Linked DNA regions of Stegostoma tigrinum. The protein of the gene in region 2 interacts with the protein of the main gene of each other region in a pairwise test. Links are inferred from orthologs where the notes say so. Each region holds a gene or a part of one and is shown on either strand. Other genes may lie near its edges. The genes, in order: lratd2a and urod.

What was found.
Region 1: the proteins of urod (region 2) and lratd2a interact in binary tests that used the Homo sapiens proteins (3 or more experiments, as listed by UniProt). The two-hybrid records come from large-scale screens. The link is inferred for Stegostoma tigrinum from reciprocal best matches to the Homo sapiens genes UROD and LRATD2.

Annotation. Positions count from the first base shown.
Region 1 is NC_081358.1:48,458,843-48,470,172, forward strand, and holds lratd2a (protein LRATD2a), read right to left. Parts: upstream 5,623-11,330; 5' UTR 4,668-5,622; coding exon 3,783-4,667; 3' UTR 1,862-3,782; downstream 1-1,861.
Region 2 is NC_081361.1:72,491,366-72,503,005, forward strand, and holds the start of urod (uroporphyrinogen decarboxylase), read right to left. Parts: upstream 4,425-11,640; 5' UTR 4,312-4,424; coding exon 4,289-4,311; intron 1-4,288. Other genes in the region: E3 ubiquitin-protein ligase HECTD3, read left to right, coding at 6,618-6,935, 9,585-9,745. UniProt on the Homo sapiens protein: Catalyzes the sequential decarboxylation of the four acetate side chains of uroporphyrinogen to form coproporphyrinogen and participates in the fifth step in the heme biosynthetic pathway.

The DNA.
Region 1 (11,330 bases), on a different chromosome or scaffold from region 2:
AATTATGAGAAATCTACACAGTAGACAGACAGCAACTGTTCCCTTTTGTGGAATGGTCAAGAACAAGAGCATATTTATCTAAAATGATCAGCAGAAGAACCAATAAGTGAAAAGGGGTTTTACGCAGTGAGGATCTGGAGTGCATTGGTTGTGAGCTTGATGGAGATCCACTTAAAAGTGGCTTTCAGAAGTCAGTTGGGCCAGCCCATAATGAGTAATATTTGCAGTGCCAGGAAGAAAAGATTGGGGAGTAAGTCTTGTTATATGGTACTTGCAAAGAGACACCCAGGACACAATGGGCAAATGACTTCCTCTGTGCTGTAACCATTCAATTCTACTAAGAATAGCAGTAGGAATTCTGGAAAATTTATTTAAAGGCATCTCCCTGTCAGAGAAGCGCTAACTCACCATAAACTACAGTATAAACTTGGGATCTTCCAAATCTGTGTGGATTGGCTACTTATTTGGTAAATTCACCTGATCTGCTACAGAAATGGGTATGTTCTTCTGATTGTTTATTGACCTGAGCAAGTAATGTTTAGCATTTTAATCAAGGAAGAGGGAATTCACTTGTTGCTTAATCAGAAGATTGGGGCTCAACAGGCAATGGATAGAGTGAATAGGAAGGCCAAACTACATTCGCAGAGGGTCAGTGACTGGGATGCATAGATTTAAAGTGAATGGTAATAAGATTTGTGAGGAGATGAAGAAAGTTTTATTCACCTAAAGTGTGTTAGTGGTCTGGAATACTGTTGAACGGCCATAGAGGTGGTTACCTTTTTCCAATTATGGGATGTCTGGATGTGCACCTCAAATGCAATAAACTGCAGGATGACGTACCAAATGTAGGAGCACGGAAGGCTCATTTTTCAGCAGACACAGACATAACGTGCCAAATGGCCTCCTCTGTAAACTACTATGGTTGAAGTCCCAAGGCAGGACTTAAACACAAAATAAACTAGAGTTATAAACCACTGCAGTACCTGGGCAGGGTGTTGACTCTTGCAGGCTGTGTCTTTCAGATGAAAAGTTTAAACAAGGCCCCATCTGCCTTCTCAAGAAGATGCAAAACAATCTTATGGCACTACTTCAAAGAATATCAGAGAGTTCTCCCTAGTGAGCTGGGCAATATTTGTCCCTCAATCAATATCACAAAAAAGAAAACAGTCTTACTGATTATCACTTTGCTATCGGTGAGAGCTTGCTGTTTACAAATTGATTGCTGTGTGTCCTACATTATAACAATAACTGTAATTATTTCATATGTAAGTATACATAAGACTTTTTTGTTCAGTCACAGGATGCGGGTATCACTGGCTAGGCAGCATTTACTGTCAGTCCATAATTACCCAGAGGGCAGTTTAGAGTCAACCACATTGCTGTGGGTCTGGAGTCACATGTAGTCCAGTCCAGTTCAGGATGGCAGTTTCCTTCCCTCAATGACATTTGTGAACCAGCTGAGTTTTCCCTGACAATTGACAGCAGATTCACAGTCATCATCAGATTCTTAATTCCAGACACTTATTGAATTGAAATTCCACCCTCTGCCATGGCAGGATTCAAACTCAGGTCCCCACAACATTATCAAGGTCTCTGGATTGACAGTCCAGCGATAATACCACTAGACCTTCACCTCCCCACACTATTTAAATCAGCTATTAAACACCTTGGAATGTCCAGATGTTGCGAAAACAGCTACATAAATTTAGAGACAGAATACTATAGCAGAAGTATATGCACTGTAAAACTTTCCTAATGGGTTGTGGGTGGGAAATGATGCAAAGGAGTGGAATAGAGAGATAAGAGTTTTGAGGAAAATTTCCCTATGTTTGCATGAATACTTCACAATGCTTCTCACATGGAAAATCACATATTCCAACATTTTATTACATGGTTTCGCAATGTACACAAGTGCTTATTTAGACACTATCAATACATGGTCTGTGCATTCTGTTGATCTTTAGAACCTTGCAAAACTTTGACATGTCACACACATCAAAAGTAAGGCAGGCAAAAATATCAACTATAGTGCATAACTTAATGCACAATAAATTCAAAAATATCATTATAAAAATATTCAATTCAATCTCAATAAAGATGTGCAAGAAATATGAATACCTTCAAACTCTGTTTCAATGTGTCATGGGAACATGTATCATCAACAATGGAAACCAACCAAAACCAATACGGGCTTGAAGCTGAACTTAAAAACTAAAATCAGTAGGTGCTATTTTCTCCAGCTAACTGTATAAAGTATTTGTACGCTTTAGTTGGCAAATAATGCACTTCAGAATGCTCCTGACTGAATCACTCTAACCCAGTGTGCATTGTCCATCACCACAACCGTTTTTAACTTCTTGCTTTCTTCAGATCGACCTAACTGACCCCTTCTACTATTAAACTTTGCCCTTCATTTTGAAGGAACTGTTATGACTGAGAAATGTTCCCCTTCTGAAGCGAAGTTATTTCATTCTCAGTTAAAGCAAGGGTTTGATCTACCCAAGCAATATAAAAAGATGGAGGGTTGGGGTGGGGGAGGAAGAGGGGGTGGTTTGGGGAAAAGTAACAAGAGAAGTCACAGATTATCAAGAGTACGAAACAACCCCAACACTCCAGTATCACAATAAACGGTGATTATATTAACTGAGGAATGTTGCAGGAAAATTAACACAGTGTGGCTAACGCATGATTACATTTTTACTTTTGTGCAATCCACCGACTTGATAATGCTTCCTTTCAGTTTGTCTGGGTGAGAGGAAATAGGAAAGAAACTTGAAGTGAAACTTTTCATTCCAGCCTGAATAATCAATAAATGTCCCAGTTTTTTGGTGAGGAGGGGTGCACGTTGGCAGAGATGGTTAACCTGCTCAGTGTCAATCCCAGGCTGTATGGGTTTTACCCCTCTCAATGTGTGTTATGGAGTTTTAATCTGCTCAGTCTGTGTCATAATCAGTCCCGGATTTTAAATGGTTCAGTGTTTTGTGGTCATTCGTAGTTTTTGACCTGCTCTGTGGGTGTTGTGTGATCAGTCTCAGATTGGGCATGTGGAGGAGGTCAGTTTAACCCACTCAGTGGGCGGAGTGTAGTCAATCCCAAGGGATAACCAGGTTTGGTTTTGGGGGGTGGTTGTAGGCTGGATTTAAACCTCTTACCAGTGATTGAATGGTAAGTTCCAGGGTTTAACCCTCTCAGTGGGAAGCAGGGTTGCGTGGTCAGTCCTGGAATAAAGTATAACCCTCTGTGGGGTTGATGTTATCAGACCATGATGTAAGCCTCTGGAGTTTGGAGGTGATGGTGGTCAGGTCCAGGTTCGGGTTTGATTTGCTTTGCAAGTGTGGTGTGGTCGCTTCCTGATTTAACCCTCTCAGTAGGGGGTGGTTTGGTCAGTCCCATGTTAACCCATGTAGGATAGTATGGTCAGTCCAGGTTTAACCCTCTCAGTACTGTGTTGGTGGGGTCTGTCCCAGGTTTAACCCTCTCAGAATTGGGATGGTAGGGTCAGTCTCAGGTTTAACCCTCTCAGTATTGGGATGGTGGGGTCGGTCCCAGGTTGAACCCTCTTGGTATTGGGATGGTGGGGTTAGTCCCAGGTTGAACCCTCTCAGTATTGGGATGGTGGGGTCAGTCCCAGGTTTAACCCTCTCACTATTGGGATGGTGGGGTCTGTCCCAGGTTGAACCCTCTCAGTATTGGGATGGTGGGGTCTGTCCCAGGTTGAACCCTCTCAGTATTGGGATGGTGGGTCTGTCGCAGGTTGGTACTTGATCCCCTCAGCAGGGGTGTCAGTGGTCAGTCCTCTGCTGCTCGTCGCTGTGCAGATGGGCGGCCAGTTCCCGGATCAAAGCCACTTTGCCGATCTGGTCATTGCGGCGTTTCTCCAGGATCAGGTCATGTAGGCTCTGGAACTCGAGCGTGTGGCTGCTGTGCTCGGACAGGTGAAGCTGTAAGCGGTACGGCTGCTTGCCGATGCGGAGCTCCCCGCCAACCTTGAACTCTCGGCGGCCGCAGCGGCACCAGGCAGCGAAACACTCGGAGCTACTCCAGCGGAGCTGAGCCCCCCGCACGCCGACCTGCTGCAGGGCGGCTCGGACCACGGCGTCGGCCGGCAGCGCCTTAAAGCGGTACCGCTGGCTGACCAGGCGGCCCCTCCGGCCCTGGCTAGCATCCGTCAGGAAGTCGTTGCGGATCTCCGCCTGGTGCAGGTGTACCACCTGGAAGTCGCCCACATAGACGGCCCAATGAGGGCACTGACTCGCCGCCACGAACTCCACCAGGTCTCCGGGCTGGCACCTTCCCAGCAGGATCTCGGCCGGCTGAGGGGTCAGCAGCTCCTGGCCGTCTCCTTTGGCCGAGCGGCCTGCTCTCCTCCTCTTCTCGTAGATGCACTGGTCCCGGTAGTAGACGGAGCACTCCACCTCGTTCAGGAGGTCGTACGTGTCCCCGCCGTCCTCCTCTTTATCCCGGTCACACTCCCTCTCGCCGCCGGCGGCTGGACCCCTACCCGACCCCGTCTCTCCGGCCACCGGCTCGTCCGCCAAATCATCGTCCTCATCCACTGAAAAGATGTAGGAGACCCCGATGCGGGGCCCGGGCTCCGTCCCGGCCGGTTCCGCCGTAGGTACCTCGGCGTAACTCAGATGGGTCAGTCTCTCCACCTGGTTCCCCATTCAACTTCGACCTCCTTTCCTTGTGTATTCTTAATTTTTTTTACAAAACCACACAAACACACACACAAGTTCGCAGGACTGTAAATAAACCAACCCCCGGCAAACAGTGAAACGAAAAAAGGCGGAGGTTGGGGAGAAATAACAAAAATAATCTCCACCTGTAAAAACAAAACAGGACGAGCAAACTCAGGCTCCAGTCCTCCCGGCTAAAGGGTCTTCCACACCGGCCTCCATCGGGTCTGAGGGTCCAGGGCAGCAGCGATGGCAAATAAGCGGAGGGATGGGTTGGTCGGGGGCGATGGGGAAGTAAAATAAAAAGTTGGAGTCGATCAATAGTCAGATAGCTCCCCCTCCTCGGCACTGGAGTACAGTTGTTTTGTGGGCTTTTGAGATTTGAAAGGAGTTTGGGTTTGTAGAGCCTCCTCCTGGCTGTCGTCCTCCCTTGCCTCAGGTGTTGCAGTCCGTCCAAACTGCAAACAGGTACCAAAGGGAGAGATTGTGTGTCTGAGAGAGAGAGAGTGGTAGGAGGGATCCTTCCCCGCCCCTTGTCTCCCACAGTCTCTCTCTCTCTCTCCTGGAGACTGGCTCAGCCACTGCCGGAAGGATATCAGCTGAACAGCGGAGCTGCTGTGCCGCTACTGCGTGCTCGCCTGAGAATGTGACTCATTCACACCGACCCTCGGTCTCTCTCTCCCTCACTCCCTCCCTCTATGTCTCGGAAACGTCAAGGTAAGCGAGCTGGCGGAAGCGCAAAGGATCTGCCAACTCTGGGGAGCAGCCAAAAGCTTCTGGAATGCCGCCCCCATCCACTGTCTGGTCGTTTACAAACACACACACACACACACAATCTCTCGGGCTCTGCCACTTTGAAAAACTACTTTCCTGCAAGAATTCCGACAGCGGACGGCGAAGCTAGGAACGCCACTGTGTTTTATGTGCACGTACAGAGCGAAGGTTTGCAAATCCGACCTGGGGGGGGGGGGGCGGGGGGGTGTTTGTAAATCGGCAGCGGGCTCTCGGCACCTGAGAAATGAAACTGCTTGTGTCAGTTCATTTCTGCTCTCAGATAGTGACAGACCTGCTGCGTGTCTGAGAAAAAAAAGTCTCTGCTCTTTATCTTTTTTTTGGACGGCATTAACGCTAAGAGGAAGATCCGGCCAAGTCATGTTGGAGTTGCAATGAGACCAGTTTGATCAGGTTCGGGAACTGTATCTGGGCGCGGGGTGGGGAGAGAGAAATCGCAAACCTTCCGGTATTGGCCGATGAAATCTCTGCCGAGGACAAAGACGTTTGTGCATTGCGAAAGACGTGGGTGTATTAAGTTCACATTCCACATATGGTTCAAAGGTTATGCAGTGTCTCACTTGCAGTAGGACTGACGTGTGATTGTGGGCCGCTTCTCTCCCAACATTCAGGAGATCGTACAAATCAATACTCCCAAAGGCCTACAGCAAATTATTTTGAAAGGTCTTGCATTCACGTAGCACCTGCCACAACCTTCCGGAATGTTTAACAGACCTTTTGATCTGCACGCACAGCCACTTCAGGCGACGAAACAGCAATGCCATAGCCTGCCTGATAACTTCTTTTTAGAAGTTGGGAAAGGGACAGATCTTGGCCAGGGCACTAGAGAGAAATAGAACAGGGAGTTATTTTATGTCCAATGTAGAAATGCAGCAGTAGTCATTTGGCCCCACTAATCTGCCTTGTCATTCAGTAAGATAAGGCTGATCTGATTGTAACCTCAAATCCACAATCCTGACCCCGATAACCTTTCACAAGTTGCTTAACAAGAATCTACCTACCTCAGCCTTAAAATCAAAATCTTTGCTTCTCTTCTTTGGAGGAGACTTCCAAAAGCTCATGACTCTGTGCAAAAACAAAGTGCACCTCATCTGTACTGATCTATGCTCTATGTATGAAAGGTGGTAAGGAAAAGCCAGGAAACTATAGACTGGTGGGCCTGACATCAGTGGTGGACAAGTTGGAGGGAATCCTGAGGGACATGTGTTTGGAAAGGACTGATTAGAGATAGTCAACATGGCTTTGTGCATGGGAAATCGGGTCTCACTAATTTGATTAAGTTTTTAATGGCCAGCTCCTCATGTTTTTTGATTCACTTGTGGGACATGGGCATCACTGGCTGGCCAGTATTTGTTGCTTGATCCTAGTTGTCCTTGAGAAGGTGGTGGTGAGCTTGAACTGCTGCAGTCCATGTGCCATAGGATGACCTTCAATAATCATAATAATTCAAGGTTCGAGGAAATATCGTCTTCACATCCAACTCTTCATGACTGGTAAGGGTCTAACATGGTTCAATGAAGTTATCATTTATTGTTCTAAAGTCCAACTGATACTTACCTAGCTTGTCAAATTTTTTTTATAAGGCCGCTTGCTCATTCTGGTATAATGTAGTCAATCTTCTCTAAATTTGCATCTTTAAGGTGACAAATACAGTGCACAGAAGTCCAGATGTAGTCTCACCAGTGTCCTTTGTAATGGAAGCTTAGCCTCCCAAAGTAATCCAAAAGATGGCCCTCTGCCCTGAAAATTAAAACAGCGTCTTGCACATACCTAGACCTTCCGATAGCAATGAGCAGCTTTGGTGATAGTGTCTGGATGAGGAATCTTTGAAATCGGATCTTTTTTGTGTAATCTGGAAAAACAAACGGGACCTCAGTTTAGTGCCTTCTCCAAGGGCCTGGGCCTTCCACAACACAGCACTCCCAAAGTAACACCCTGCATTGTAAATTTAAATTAGATGCTCAATGCTCAGATGCAACAGAGCTGAGCTGATCTGAACATTTAAAATGATCAGAATTTCCATTCTGTACTTCCTGTTTGTCAGACAAGTTATTTAAATTACATTTTATTAAAGAAGCTTCAGATGCCAAAGAAATGCATTGGATCCTTTTTATTTTGATGTTTTATTCAATTCTCAGAGTCTAACAACAGTGATGGTGTAATATATGATCAAAAACAATTCTAGACAAAGCAGGATCCACAAGCAAAACAAAAAGAAATATCGCAACTGCTTAATCTTTTGTGATAGATTTCAATAGAATTTTAACACAATTCAATAGAATTTTAACAGAGGGAAACTGACAACATATTTCAGAATTGGTCGTAAAACTATCAATGTCTACAAGAAGACCCAATTGGGACAGTTTGAAGAACTCCAACATAAACTGTGTTCAATTGTACATTTGGCTTTAGATTATCTGCCCATTTGAATATTAAAAAAATATATTTTGCATTTGTATGATATCTTTTATATCCCGACATTGGCCCAAAGCACTGCACTGCCATTTAAGTGACTTTGAAGTATATCCACTGGTGTTATGCAGAGAAACAACGGAGAGATAAATAATCAGATAATCAGTTTCACTGGAGTTAGTCTAGTGTTAAATGTTGGACAACGAGAAATTCTGTATAGTGCTATGGGTCATTTATGTCCATCTGAGAGGATGTGCAGAACCTCAATTTAAGTTTTCATCAAAAAGAAACTTTTCATCCAAAAGATTGCCCCAATTAGCAGTGCAAAACTGAGGGAGTATCAGTTTGGATTATATTCTTGTGACTTTCAAACTCGAGGTAAGAACACCAACAAGGAGACATGTCAGATAACTAGCTACCTTTTCAAAAACACATTCCATCTGTTGAATGAAACACATACCAGCGTTTTTCTGTGATGTTTTACTTTTTTCTGCTGTCATTAATTGTCAGGTTGAAACTATTCAGTGCTTGCATGCTTTATGATAAAACTTTTGTTACGGCCTTGAAGAGAGTAAGGGGTTTCAATGACAAATATTCCAAAAGAATCAGCAAATGTCTGTGATTCATCGTAACATTTTAATTTTATTTCTACATTTTTTTTCTGAAGTATCTTCAATGTCCACTTAATTGCAGCGTGGCATGAGAATGCCTGGGGTGTATCTATGATCACTTATGGCTAAAGTGTTAGCAGCCTCTCAATGTTCTACACTAGTGGCCACCATAGTCCCAAAGGACTATAGGGCTGTTCTCTCATTAGAGAAAGTTAACTGATGACACGTTTTACCTGAGGGTCACCATGCCTCAGTGCTGGGGTGAGGTCATAAAATCAGGACCTTCATGATGACCTTAGCTGGTGTGGGAATTGTTGGCATCACTTTGCATTGTAAAGCAGCTGCCCAGCCAACTGTGCTAACTGTAGAGTTTCCCAGAATAGTGGTTGAGACCCCAAGTGTGGTCTAGAGCTAAAGGTTTGGTGTCACAAACTCTGAGGGTAGCAGTAGCCATCATGGGGCTGTGCACAAGTTAGAACTGTGTTACCAGACAGGTTCACATTCTTACCAGTCCCTCTCACCTCTCAATTCTCACTGATGGCTTGTGACAATTTTCAAAACTTGCATTGTTGTCACCAGGTTAAAAAGTTTGGGATGCACTGTTTTGGTGATTTCTTCCAAATGACGGTATGTGTGTCACAATGCAAAATGGAGAATTGTGTATTTGTTTAGTGCCTCTAACATAATGAAACATTCCAACATATTTCACAAGATCATCGTAAAAGCAATGGTGGTACTGGACCACATGAATTAATTAGGCCAGATAACAACAAAAACTTCGTTAAGTAGGGAAGTTTTAAAGAAGATCTTAAAGGAGGAGAATGAGCAAGAGTGGTGTCCAAAGGAATTTCAGAGCTTTAGGCCCAATGACAGAAGATATAACCACCAAAGGTGGAACAATTATAATTGAGAATGTGCAAGAGATTTGAATAGAAAGAGCATAGATATCTCAGAGGATTGCGCTGGTGGAGGAGATTGGGGACACTGTTTTAAATAAAACTGCCCTAAATGAAAATGAGAAGCTGATGTGGCAAGCAATGATTGTGGTTATGAATCTAGAAAGTCATTGAAAAAGAAAGATTATGATTGGTTTAAACAAAGAGTCCATCTGTAAAATTGGTAGGGTATGACCATAAGACCATAAGACATAGGAGTGGAAGTAAGGCCATTTGGCCCATCAAGTCCACGCCGCCATTTAAATCATGGCTGATGGGCATTTCAACTCCACTTTCCTGCACTCTCCCCGAAGCCCTTGATTCCTTGTGAGATCAAGAATTTGTCGATCTCTGCCTTGAAGGCATCCAACGTCCCGGCCTCCACTGCACTCCGTGGCAATGAATTCCACAAGCCCACCACTCTCTGGCTGAAGAAATGTCATCTCATTTCAGTTTTAAATTTACCCCCTCTAATTTTAAGGCTGTGTCCATGGGTCCTAGTCTCCCCACCTAACGGAAACAACTTCCTAGCATCCACCCCTTCTAAGCCATACGTTATCTTGTACGTTTCTATTAGATCTCCCCTCAACCTTCTAAACTCTAATGAGTACAATCCCAGGATCCTTAGCCGTTCATCATACGTTAAATCTACTGTTCCAGGGATCATCCGTGTGAATCTCCGCTGGACACGCTCCAGGGCGAGTATGTCCTTCCTGAGGTGTAGGGCCCAAAATTGGACACAGTATTCTAAATGGGGCCTAACTAGAGCTTTATAAAGCCTCAGAAGCACATCGCTGCTTTTATATTCCAATCCTCTTGAGATAAACGGCAACATTACATTCACTTTCTTAATCATGGACTCTACCTTCAAGTTAACCTTTAGAGAATCCTGGACCAGCACTCCCAGATCCCTTTGTACTTCTGCTTTATGAATTTTCTCACCATTTAGAAGATAGTCCATACCTGTATTCTTTTTTCCAAAGTGCAAGACCTCGCATTTGCTCACATTGAATTTCATCGGCCATTTCCTGGACCACTCTCCTAAACTGTCTAAATCTTTCTGCAGCCTCTCCACCTCCTCAGTACTACCTGCCTGTCCACCTATCTTTGTATCATCGGCAAACTTCGTCAGAATGTCCCCAGTTCCTTCATCCAGATCATTAATATACAAGGTGATCAGCTGCGGGCCCAACACTGAACCCTGCGGGACACCACTCGTCACCGGTTGCCATTCCGAAAAAGAGCCTTTCATCCCAAATGTCTGCTAACTGTCAGACAGCCAATCCTAAATCTAAGCCAGTAGCTCACCTTGAACACCATGGGCCCTCACCTTGCTCAGCAGCATCCCGTGAGGCACCATATCAAAGGCGTTTTGGAAGTCTAGATAGATAACATCTACTGGATTTCCCTGGTCTAACATACTTGTTACCTCTTCAAAGAATTTTAACATGTTTGTCAGGCACGACCTCCCCTTACTAAATCTATGCTGACTTGTTCTAATCTGACCCTGCACTTCCAGGAATTTAGAAATCTCATCCTTGACAATGGATTCAAGAATTTTACCAACTACTGAGGTTAGGCTAATCGGCCTATAATTTTCCATCTTTTGCCTTGATCCTTTCTTAAACGGGGGGTTACAACAGCAATTTTCCAATCATCTGGGACTTTCCCAGACTCCAGTGACTTTTGAAAGATCACAACCAAAGCTTCTACTGTTTCTTCAGCCACCTCCCTCAGAACTCTAGGATGTAGCCCATCAGGGCCAGGAGATTTAGCAATTTTTAAACCTTTCAGCTTTTCTTGCACTTGCTCTTTTGTAATGCCTACCATACTCAACTCTGCCCCCTGGCTCTCCCTAAGTCTTGGCCTACTACTCATGTCTTCCACTGTGAAGACTGACG
Region 2 (11,640 bases):
TCCTAAACAGTTAAGCAAAATTGATAAATTTTAGATTTCAAAAAATGAATCCTATAGTAACTGCTCCCTGGTAGCAGATGTCCAAAATTTACCATTTCCTCTTAACCATGTTTGCCCCAACTCCACATTTCCCCATTCCACCTCCTCAGAAGAACAATACAGCTCAGGTATAGACCCTTTGGCCCTTCAGCTCTCCAAGCCCACACTGACGTTTGGCCCTTCCTTACTACAACTGTCTTCACTTAAAGGATCTGTATCCCTCTATTCCCTTCCTATTCACGTTCATTCAGGTGCCTTTTGAATGCTGTTGTGTCTGCTTCCACCACCTCCACTGGCAACGCGTTCCAAGCACTCACCACTCCTTTTGTGAAAAATCTGCCTCGCACATTTCTTAACTCCCACCTCCTCCCCCTCACCGTGAACCTGTGCCCCCCCAGTAATTGACTCCTCCACCCTGCGGATAAAGCATCATACTTTCCACTCTATCCGAGGCATGCACAATCTTATAAACCTTTATCAGTATGCCCCTCAACCTCCTGTATTCCAGTGAAAACAAACCCAGTCTATCCATCCTACCAGTGTAGCGAAAATCCCCCATAGCAGGCAACGTCCCAGTAAACTTTTTCTGTACCCTCTCCAAAGCATCCACATCCTTCCAGTAGTGTGGTGACCAGAACTGTATGCAATATTCCAAGTGTGGCCTGAATAAAGTTCTATAAAGCTGCAGCATAACTTGTTCACCCTTCTGTTCAATGCCCCTTCCAATGAAGGAAAGCATGCCATAGGCCTTCTTTACTACCTTATCTACTTGTGGATCTGCACGCCCAAATTCCTCTGTCTATCAATACTTTTAAGGGTTCTGCCATTCACTGTATAATTTCCACCTGTATTTGATCTTCCAAAATGTATCAGCTCACATTTGTTCCAGATTAAACTCCATCTGCCATTTACCTGCCCATGCCTCTAACTGAGCTACATCCTGCTGTATCCTTTGACAATCCTCCTCACTATCTGCAATTTCAATCTTTGTATCACTCGCAAACTTACTAATTAGGCCAGCTACATTTCCTTACAAATCATTTATTTAGATCACAAACAGCAGACGTCCCAGCACCATTCCCTGTGGAACACCACTAGTCACAGCCCTCCATTCTGAAAAGCATCCTTCCACCACTACCCACTGTCTCCTATGGCTAAGCCAGTTCTGTATCAGTCTTGCCAGTTCCCCCTGATCCCATGTGACTTCACCTTCTGTACCTGTCTGCCATGAGGGACATTCACATAGGCTTTACTGATGTCCATGTAGGCAACATCAACCACTTTTCCCTCAATCATCGTCATCATCTCCTCAGAAAACAGCAAGTAATTGTGATTATCCATGAACAGGGACAGGACTTTGGCTAGGGCACAGGTGAAGTACAATACACAGTTCTGGTTGCCTCATTAAAGAAATGATGCGACTGCGCTGGAGGGGTGCAGAGGAGATTCACCAGGATGCGGTCAGGGATGGAGCATTTTTTTTTAAATGGAGCGAGGCAGGATAAGTTTGGGTTGTTTTATCTGCAGCAAAGGAGGAGAAGGGAGTATGTGATAGAGGGGTAGAAGACAATCAGGGGCATGGACTGGGTGAATAGAAAGTAGTTATTCCCTTAGCTGAAGGGTAAATAACAAGGGAAATAATTTTTGAGGTGAAAGGCCGAAGGTTGAGAGGAGATTTGAAGAAATATTTTTTCGCCTAGAGGATGGGGGGTTCTGGAATACATGACGTGGGAGGGCAGTTGAGATGGAAACCTCATAACCTTGAAAAGGTATGTGGATGAACACCTGAAATGTCATCATGTACAAGGCTATGGGGCTAGTGCTAGATCGTGGAATGAGTGTAGATTTAGTGTAGCTTTGGGGTACAGATGTGATGGGCTGAAGCATCTCTTCTGCTGTGTATGATTCCATGCTTTTGTTCCACATAACAATTTGAAGTTATGCAATCTGAATGTAGGTGACATTTAAGACACCATAATATTTGCAACATATGCTGTGATATTTTTGCACTTCAAAATGAAGCCAATAATATTCAAGGACTAATAAAATGTGTAAGACTTTGAATAAATCCTAAATCTTCTGACTCAGCATTCAATCATATGACAGTCAATTTATTAAAGAATCAGCAAATCATTACTCACAGACTTCTGTAAAAATGCAATGGTTGGAAATGTTTTTACCGAAATATTATTTTGGTCAAACAGTTCAGAAATAATTTTTTGACACTTCTCCCAAGATCCATGTTTAATTTCTGACATCGTACAAACTTTCCTATTCTGTTAATAAAATGGCAAACACATTTGAAAATGAGGATTGAGTCTTTTTGAGAAGGAAACACTAGATGTCTTTACCTTAAAAAATCTCTCAATTGTTAATGCCAAAAATACATCAACATAATATAACTCAAATAACCTCTAGTAAGCTAGTTTAAGATTCCGAAGATTCCTTCAGCTTCAGCTGAATTATACTGATAGCTTGGCTGTATACTAAAGACTTTCTGTTTTGTGACCCAGTGGCCAGTTCACGATCTACCATTCATCCACACCTCTGCTACTGAACACTTACAAGTAATGAAGATCATGGATACTGATGCAGACAATCAGGCATGAGAAGTGAGGATAAGTGAAAAGATTAGCTGGCTGAGTAAAGTGAGCCGAAGGGAGGTTGTTGGGGCGGGGGGGGGGGGGGGGGGGGGAGAAAAAAAGAGACGACCCAGGATCATGCTGCTGATCAACACCAAGCTGACCTTCAAGACACACCATCAGCTCAAAAAATGGGAGGCTGCCAAATTAAAAGTCATGACATTTCTGTTAATTCCAACTAATACTTCCACATTTACAGTAAATGTGAGACTGCACTAGTGAACTTAAAGGCTAAAATACACAGCAACCTTTTTTCTGTTACATGGCTAGAGGTCTGCCATTAAGGTATGGTCCCCTGTTTTGAATGGCACCAAGAATTCGTTTGCATACTTAACGTGCATCTGAGCATTTCTCCGAAGCATCTAGCCTACAACAAACTGATCTTGTCTACTAAAACAGTTGACTGGAATACTGATGATAGAAAAGGAGGATACTTTTTGTTTCAGATAAGAGTGCATTGCAAGTCAGCTAACTGCAAAGTCATTTATCCTGGAAAACAGAAGGTGGAGGGCAGCTTCTGGTATTACACCAACTGAAGAGTTGAAACATACAGAAATTCCCCAGCAATCAAACTTGCTAAATAAACTTATATTAATAAGACCACAAAAATGTTGTCATCCATCAAAATGGTGGATTTTGTCAGCTAGTTATCACTAATGCTAGCTCTAATTGGCACAAAAAGTGCAACACTAAATCAAATCTGCAGATAAAGCTTATGGAGGGCAGTATAAAAAGCTGCAAACTGTTCAGAATCTGTAATCACATCCCCATTATCAGAGATAAATTATGAAACAAAGTACTATCTTGTCAAATTTCTAATCACTCTTTAATAGCCATCATCCCTATACCAAAAGGAATTCAAAACATGATTATGAAAATGTTCCTTCAAATTAGAAGATGGAATTTTGTGTGCTGAAAGACCAGAAAATCAGTTGACAAGATCATATTTGGTAAAGTATGTCAGTCAAGTTCCATCTTCATGCAAATGCCACAGCCTTTGAATGCAGCACGGCATTATATACACACAACACAATAAAATAGTTAGGGGTTCGGCCAATACAGGAAAGGTATATCAGGAAGGACTTAGTCAACGCTGTGGTTAAAAAGTAACTGAAGCACATCAAAACATGCCTATTGAATAAAGGCTGCTAATTCCTACAGTTTACAAACATTACCCTTCAGACTATAAACATGAGCTGACAAACCCATTCAGGTTACATTTATAGGACACGACTGACAGGGTTAAGACCAGGAGTGGTGAATCACGAGGCCTTTTCCAGTTACATAACTTCACTGTGAAGGGGATAGAGTTGGCAGCTTTAGTGTTAATACCGCCCAAAGCTGATTTATGGGATTTCCCCGGAATGTTCATGGTCACCTTAAGAGTTATATCGTTGAGGGAGTCAGACCTGAATGTTTAAAGTTTTTACTGACGTTCGGGTAGCTGTGCTAAACTCTGTGGCTGCCTGGAGGCTGAAGCCACATTAGTCACTGACTGGAGTTTCTCTGAGGGACGGTTTACAGCGGCCTCCCTATTGGGAGTGAAATCTCGCCGCCGGATTTAAAGCCTACGCCGCTCCTGTTGTTTTACGCCCGCTTTCACTTACACGGATAAATCGCCGTCCCCCATATCGCTCGGACTCCTAGGCAGCCACCGCTGTAGCGACTACTCCTTCCCTCAGGGCCCAGGGCGGCGCCATGTTGACAGCTCCCACGTGATTCCAACCAGCCAATTAGCGCCGGGTGCACCGTTGGAAGGGCGATCGCTGGCGGGATCACATGACCTCACGGAAGGACCTCAAGGCGAAGGGGGTCGTAGCGCGCCTGTATCAGGAAGCAGAAGGAGAGTGACCAAAGTAAGTGCGGTCATGGGGTGGGGGTGGGTAGAGAATTGAAATGGGAGAGATAGATGAGGAGGGCGTGTAAGGTTGAAAGGTAACTCAGTATTGGTAGGAGGGGGAGGAAAGTTGGTGACCCTTCAAATAGATGCTGATGAAGTTGTGGAAACAGCAGAAGGGAGCCCATAATTTTGTAGCTTTCTGCTTTGAGTGCCAAGTGATTTTGACGATCGTCCGTGTTTTAAATCTGCTGAAACTTGAATTTTCAAATTTGGAATTTACAATCATTACAGCTTGAACTGTTTACAGTGGACTTTTCACGTTTCCTGACTCAAACACTTGCAATTTCAATTTCAGCTATATTTCCCAAGTCTGTTTGGATGTGTCCCTCAAAGTTCAACTGCATGATTTAATTTTCTCCCCCAACTGGCCCACCCAGTCTCTTTAATAATGTTTTCAAAGAAAAGTGTTCTTTTAAAATAAACTTTTTTTAATTGCGCCGTGTTTTGTTTTTCTCCCGTGTTGCTTTCATGGCAACCTAGTTTTGTTAATGTTTTACTGCCTAGTTTGTTTCTTTAAATTATGTGTGATAGCGTGTTTGTTATGTGACAGCAAGATGGATTGGTTTGAGGTCAACAGTTAAGTCTAAAACCTGAGATTTTACCATATCATGTGAAGCACTCTCCTTTTCCCTCCTTTTGGGATTTATATGGTTTCAAAACAAAATGCTTCAGTTCATGTTTTTGTGGAACATGTTGCATTTCTGGAAGTGAATATTTTTTGTCAGCTGATTGTTAATGTTATTTGTGCATATATTACCATCTGTAAAACCATAAGAAATAGAAACAGAAACAGGAGTAGGCCATTTGGCCCTTTGATTGCTCAGCCAGTTCAATAGGATTTTTGCCAGTCTGACACTCCCCACGTCTGCTGTTGTGCCTTTTCTTATAACACTTGATTCCAGCACTGATCTAGAGTCTATCCATAACAGCCTCAAATATATGCAAGGATTCTGCTCCCACCACTTGATGTGGTAAAGAGTTCCAAAGAGAGACAACCTTCTCTGTCTTAAATTGGCAACCCCTGATTCTGAGATTATATCCTCTAGTCGTAGACTCTCCCTTGAAGTCATTGAGACACATAGATTTCTTAAGTGACTTGACAGGGGAAATATGGAAAGGACATTTCCACTGACAAGCCCCTTAAGAATCCTGTGTGTCTCAATGACCTAATTTGTCCCAATTCCAATGAGTCCCAACCAGCTCAATCTTTGCTCATAAGACAATTCCCCCCCCAAACTGGGGATCTTCCTAATATTCTGATGAAGGGTCACTGGACTCAAAATGTTAGCTGTTTTCTCGGCTCAGGTGTTACCAGCCCTGCTAACTTTCTCCAGCACTCTGTTACCATCTCTGAGGTTATGCACTCTTTCACGCCATCATTTTCTGCTATTCGCTGTTGCAGTTGGCTGTTTCCAGTACTATTCTTAGATTAAAAATGAAGTGATTCACTCATCTTATTTCTTGTATAACTTTGCACATTTTTCCAGGCATGTTTTAAATAGAATAAATGAGGAAAATCAATGAATACCATAGTAGAGCTGTGTAAAGTGAAAGATTTGGCACGATCACTCAGTGGTTAGCACTGCTGTTTCACAATGCCGGGGAGCCAAGTTCGATTCCATTCTCAGGTGACTGTCCTTGTGGAGTTTGCATGTTCTCCCTGTGTCTGCGTAAGTTTCCTCCCACAATCCAAAGATGTGCAGGTTAAGTGGATTGGCCATGCTAAATTGCCCCATAGTGTCCAAGGATGTGCAGGCTAAGTAGTTTAGCTGTGGGAAATGCAGGGCTATGGTAGGGTGTTTGGTCTGAGTGGGATGTTTTTTGAAGGGCTGGTGTGGACTCTGGGCTGAATAGCCTGCTTCAACACTATAGTGATTCAGAATCTATAGATTGGGTATTTAACCAGGGAGCTACACTGTAAAAGAACCTTCCTGCAAAATTACTTTTCTTGAATGTAATGCAGTTGTAGTAAGAATACTATTCACATTAGCAGTGACATGCCAACATTCAAATTGTTGTGTTAATTTTAGATTACAATGAATCCTGACAATCCGCATCAGATTCTAGGAAGAATCAGGTTTCTGATTGAGTGCATTGATTGCTTCAGGAACAGTAAACCTTTGCCAGAAGCCTTGTGTTATGTCCCCAAAGAGGTCTTGTATAAATTCTGGAAAGACTCCACCTTGTCTTCTACCATAGTGGGACGATCTCAGTACATTGTTTCAATATGGCAGTTAGCCTCCCAGCCTCAGCGCAAGAAACTCTTTGACATTGAATTAAAGAGAGGGACTTGCATCAAAGCAACTGGAGAGGAATACTGCAACAGCCACGGCCTGTGGGTGAAGCTGAATCAGGTACGTTCCTTGGGAACCATTTGCTAATTTTTGTTTTTAATTGTCCTGGTAGAGTATTCTTGCAATTGCATCAGGAAAGTTTTCTCCTACTGTGAGTAGCTTCCTACTTCATTGAGTAGCTTCATCTCGGTTTTATCATTGTTTCATTTGTTAATGGCTTTAACAGTGTGCTGGACTTTGTTTGAACAGTGAGTGAGGTAAAAACATTTCTGTTGTCTTGGCTCACTAAGGCCACTGAGATAAGACACATTTTGTAAAGCATAATGATGATATCACTGCCTCTCATGAAATCTTTTTCGTAGTCCTGAGTCATGTCAAAAATGAATTGCGTACAAAGCAAGTAATTGTTAGTGTGGTCATTGCTTTTATAGTATTAAGGTGATAGGATAGTGATGAACTTCTATAGTGAGGCACACATATTTTAATAAGTGGATTTAAGGAATTGAGCAAGAAACTACACAGTTAAATGCCAACAGCACAAAGCTGTATTATAAGCACGAATGTTAAAAAGTTGTTTAATTTATATAAAAGCAAAGTACTACAGTTCTAGTTTCCGGCAACTAGAAAGTGAAAACGTTGGAGAAGCTCAGCATGTCTGGCCGCATCTATGGAGAGAGAACTAGAGTTAACATTTTTGAGTCAGATATGATTCTTCAGAAAGATAGATTCTTATTTAACAAGGGAATCAAAATTATCAGTGGTAAGTGGGAAGGTGGAGTTCACAAATTTTTAAACTTCATTTCTGTGGGATGTGGGTGTCGCTGGCTGGCCAGCATTTATTGTCCACGCCTAGTTGCCCTTGAGAAGTTGATGGTGAGCTGTCCTCTTGAACCGCTGCAGTCCACCTGCCTTGGTTGACCCACAATGCCATTGGGAAGGGAATTCCTGAACTTTGACCCAGCGACAGTGAAGGAACACCAATGTATTTCCAATTCAGGATGGTGAATGGCTTGGAGGGAAACGTGAATGTGGTAACAGCCCATATATGTACTGGCCTTGTCCTTCAAGATGGAAGTGGCCGTGGGTTTGGAAGGTGCTGTTTGGGATCTTCTGAATTTTCACAGGGCATCTTGTAGATAGTACACATTACTGCTACTGAGCATCAGCGTTGGAGGGAGTTGATGCTTGTGGATGTAGTGCCAATCAAGTCGGCTCCTTTCCCCTGGATGGTGTCAAGCTTCTTGAGCGTTGTTGGGACTGCACTCATCCAGGCAAGTGGGGTGTACTCCATCACACTCCTTACTTGTGCCTTGCAGATAGTGGACAGGCTTTGGAGAGTCAGAAGGTGTGTTGCTCGCCAAAGTATTCATAGCTTCTGGCCTACTCTTGTAGCCACTGTATTTATGTGGTGAGAGAGATAATGGGAACAGCAGATGCTGGAGAATCCAAGATAACAAAGTGTGGGACTGGAGGAACACGGCAAGCCAAGCAGCATCTTAGAAGCGCAAAAGCTGACACTTCGGGCCTAGACCCTTCTTCAGGAGGATCTAGGCCCGAAACATCACCTTTTGTGCTTCTAAGATGCTGCTTGGCCTGCTGTGTTGATCCAGCCCCACACTTTATCTTATTTATGTGGTGAGCCCAGTTGTGTTTCTGACCAATGATGACTGCAAGGATTTTGGTAGTGGGGATTCAGTGATGGTAACGCCATTGAATTTCAAGGGCTGGTGGTTAGATTCTGTCATATTAGTGATGGCCATAGCCTGACATTTATGTGGCGCAAATTTAACTTGCGACTTGTCAGTCCAACCCTGGGTGTTGTCCAGTTCTTGTTGCGGTTGGAAATGGAATGCTTCAGTGTCTGAGGAGTGACAAACGGTGCTGAACATCGTGCAATCATCAGCAAATATCCCCACTTCTGACCTTATGATGATGGAAGGTAGGTCATTTATGAAACAGCTGACATTGGTTGGACCTAGGACACGACTCTGAGGAACTCCAGCAAAGTTGTGCTGGAGCGGAGATGACTGACCTCCAACAATCACAACCATCTTCCTGCGTATCAAGTATGACTCTGACCACCAGAGAGTTTGCCCCTGATACCTATTGATTCCAGTTTTGCTAGGGCAAGTAGAACAGCTGTAGTCGTCTTAAGTGGCAAAGCAGGCTTGAGGGCCATATGATCTACTTCTGTTCATATTTCGTATGTTTGTATGTCCCAGATTCAATGGACAGGTTTCAGTTATGGCTCAGGGAAGATCTGATTAGTATTTGGTGAAGGTTTAACTCCAGGCAATTTCTTAAAGAATCTGTTGATTTTAGGCGATGGAGCAAATTGACATTCTTGTTTAGAATGTTGTAGGTTCTTTTATTTTACAATGTTGTTTTGAAATGTTACAGATTTTCTCATCTGTAATGTTGTAATTTGTTAGAGCTGTCAAAACATAACCAGAGTTTTCAGAACAGGCTATTGGATGTGAATGAGCTGAAACCTTCTCTGTAAGATACAAGATCTTAGCTTAAGAGATAAATAAGTTTCGGGGGAAAGCCTTCAGCAAGAGCTGCATAATTATAATAACATTGAGTGGACACAGTGTGGCAGATGTATTCACAGTATTGATTGCCATCCTCAGCTGTTGGAATTATAATGTTATTATTTTATGTAATAGATCAATTATATGATTTGTCATTGTTCCAATAATGCTACAGGAGCAATTACAAGAGTACAATAGCAATTGTCAGGAAACAGAAGGCTGGATTCTTCTGTGTAAGCAGCCTGAAGGTGGCGAGCGACTTGTGCCAGTGGAAACACCCGAAAGGCTTCAGAAACAGCAGCAGCTTTTTGGTTATGATTACAGGCCATGTAACAGGTAAATTTTAAATATGCTACAGCACACTATTCATTTAATATAACAGTAAAGCGAAATGAGGTGTGTACATATGCATGGATATATAGGAACAAGAACTTGCACATAAAAGGCACCTATGATACAGAAAATCATCCCAAACGTTGACAGTGATACAACCAAACATTGGTGAATGATGGGACAGAGGAGAAGATATCCGCCCTGGTAACTTAAGGCTTGGGTTGACCAGTGAATTTTAAAGAAGGTGTTGTAAACACAGGTAGTTGGACGAGATGAATTTGGGAAAGGAATTCCAGATCATCAGCCATTTGTAGATGCACAGAAAATCGTTAAGCTCAACAGCACAGAGCAAGGTGCTTTAGCCCTTTGAGTCTCCACTGGTCAACTGCTAACAGCTAACTACTGTAATTCTGTTTTCCAGGACTTACCTTACATACCTTGGCATCACAAGTGTACATTTTATATACTTTGTAAATGTTGAGAGGGTTTCTGCCTCTATCATCATTTGGCAGTGAGTTCCAAATTCCCATGATGTTTTGGGAGAAAATGATTTTTCCTCAAATCCCTGTAAACTTACTGCTTCTTACCCTAATTCTATGTCCCCTGCCCAAAAGGAATGGCGGCTTTATTTGGAGAGAGGTTTTCGGATATTGGGCTGGAGGGGGAAGGGGCAATGAGTTGATTTTGATGATTTTAAATTTATGGCAATTGTTTGCTTATTTTTTTTAAGTTGAGCATGATTTCTGGAGACCATGTAGGTCATTGAGCATAGGGACTATCAGTAAGTCAAATGTGGTCAGCTGTAGATTATAGAGAACGTGACATTTACTTGTTGGACAAGTAATCCTCAATCTGAAGGTAATAAAGGAATGAATATGGTTCCAACAAAAGGTTGTACTAGGGACGTTGTTATAGAAGTAGAGAAGCTGGTCTTTTGAGCCTGGGAAATATGGGGTTCAAAGCTTAGCTCTGGGTTGAATAGAATACCATGATCATGAGGCACTGAATCCCATAACATTAGGTTTGAGAGGTGAATAAACCAAGCTAAGACTTTCATTTTGTTCTTTTGTTATTCACACGCAAGATCTTATGTTACAATTACCTTATTTTCTAGGATGTGGTTCCAAAAATACACCCAGCATCTCATCTAAGATTTTCTACATGAGCCTACATATTGAGATTGGCTGTTTGAACTCCAGCGCAAACTTGACAGCTGAATCCAATTCTGTCTTTCACACATACGTCATAGTTCCCTGAATAATTCTTTTGAAACAGAGCCACTGACCAATTTTTTTTGGCATGACTAACCCGGATACAGTGGGCCAGTAGTAATACCATACACGCCATGATGCGTGAAAAAGTTACTCGTCGGGTCATTTTTAAATCTTTCCCCTTTCACCTTTAAACCTATATCATCTAGTTTTGGACCACTCCACCCTGGGGGAAAATTCTTGGCTATTCACCCTGTGTGGTCCTAATGGTTTTATAAACCTCTATAAGGCTTACTTAGCCTTTGATGCTTCAGGGAAAAAGCCAAACCTGTTCACCCTCTCCCTGTAACTCAACCCTGACAACATCCTTGTAAGTCTTTTCTGCAACGTTCTTCCTGTAGAGGTTGATAAGAATTGTACACAGTATTATAACAGTGGCCTTACTAATGCCCTGTACAGCCCCACCATGACATCCCAACTCCTGTACTCAGTGTTCTAACCAAAGAAGAGAATTGTTCCAAATGCCTCCTTCACCATCCAGCTAGTATTTGGCAAGTTAATATGCCCTATCATTCTTACAGATATCTGAGCTCTCCTAACATATTTGCTTCTTAATTTCCCACTGACTATTGGCGGAGCCTATAATACAAGATGATCATCCCTTTCTTATTTGTCAGTGCAACTTCA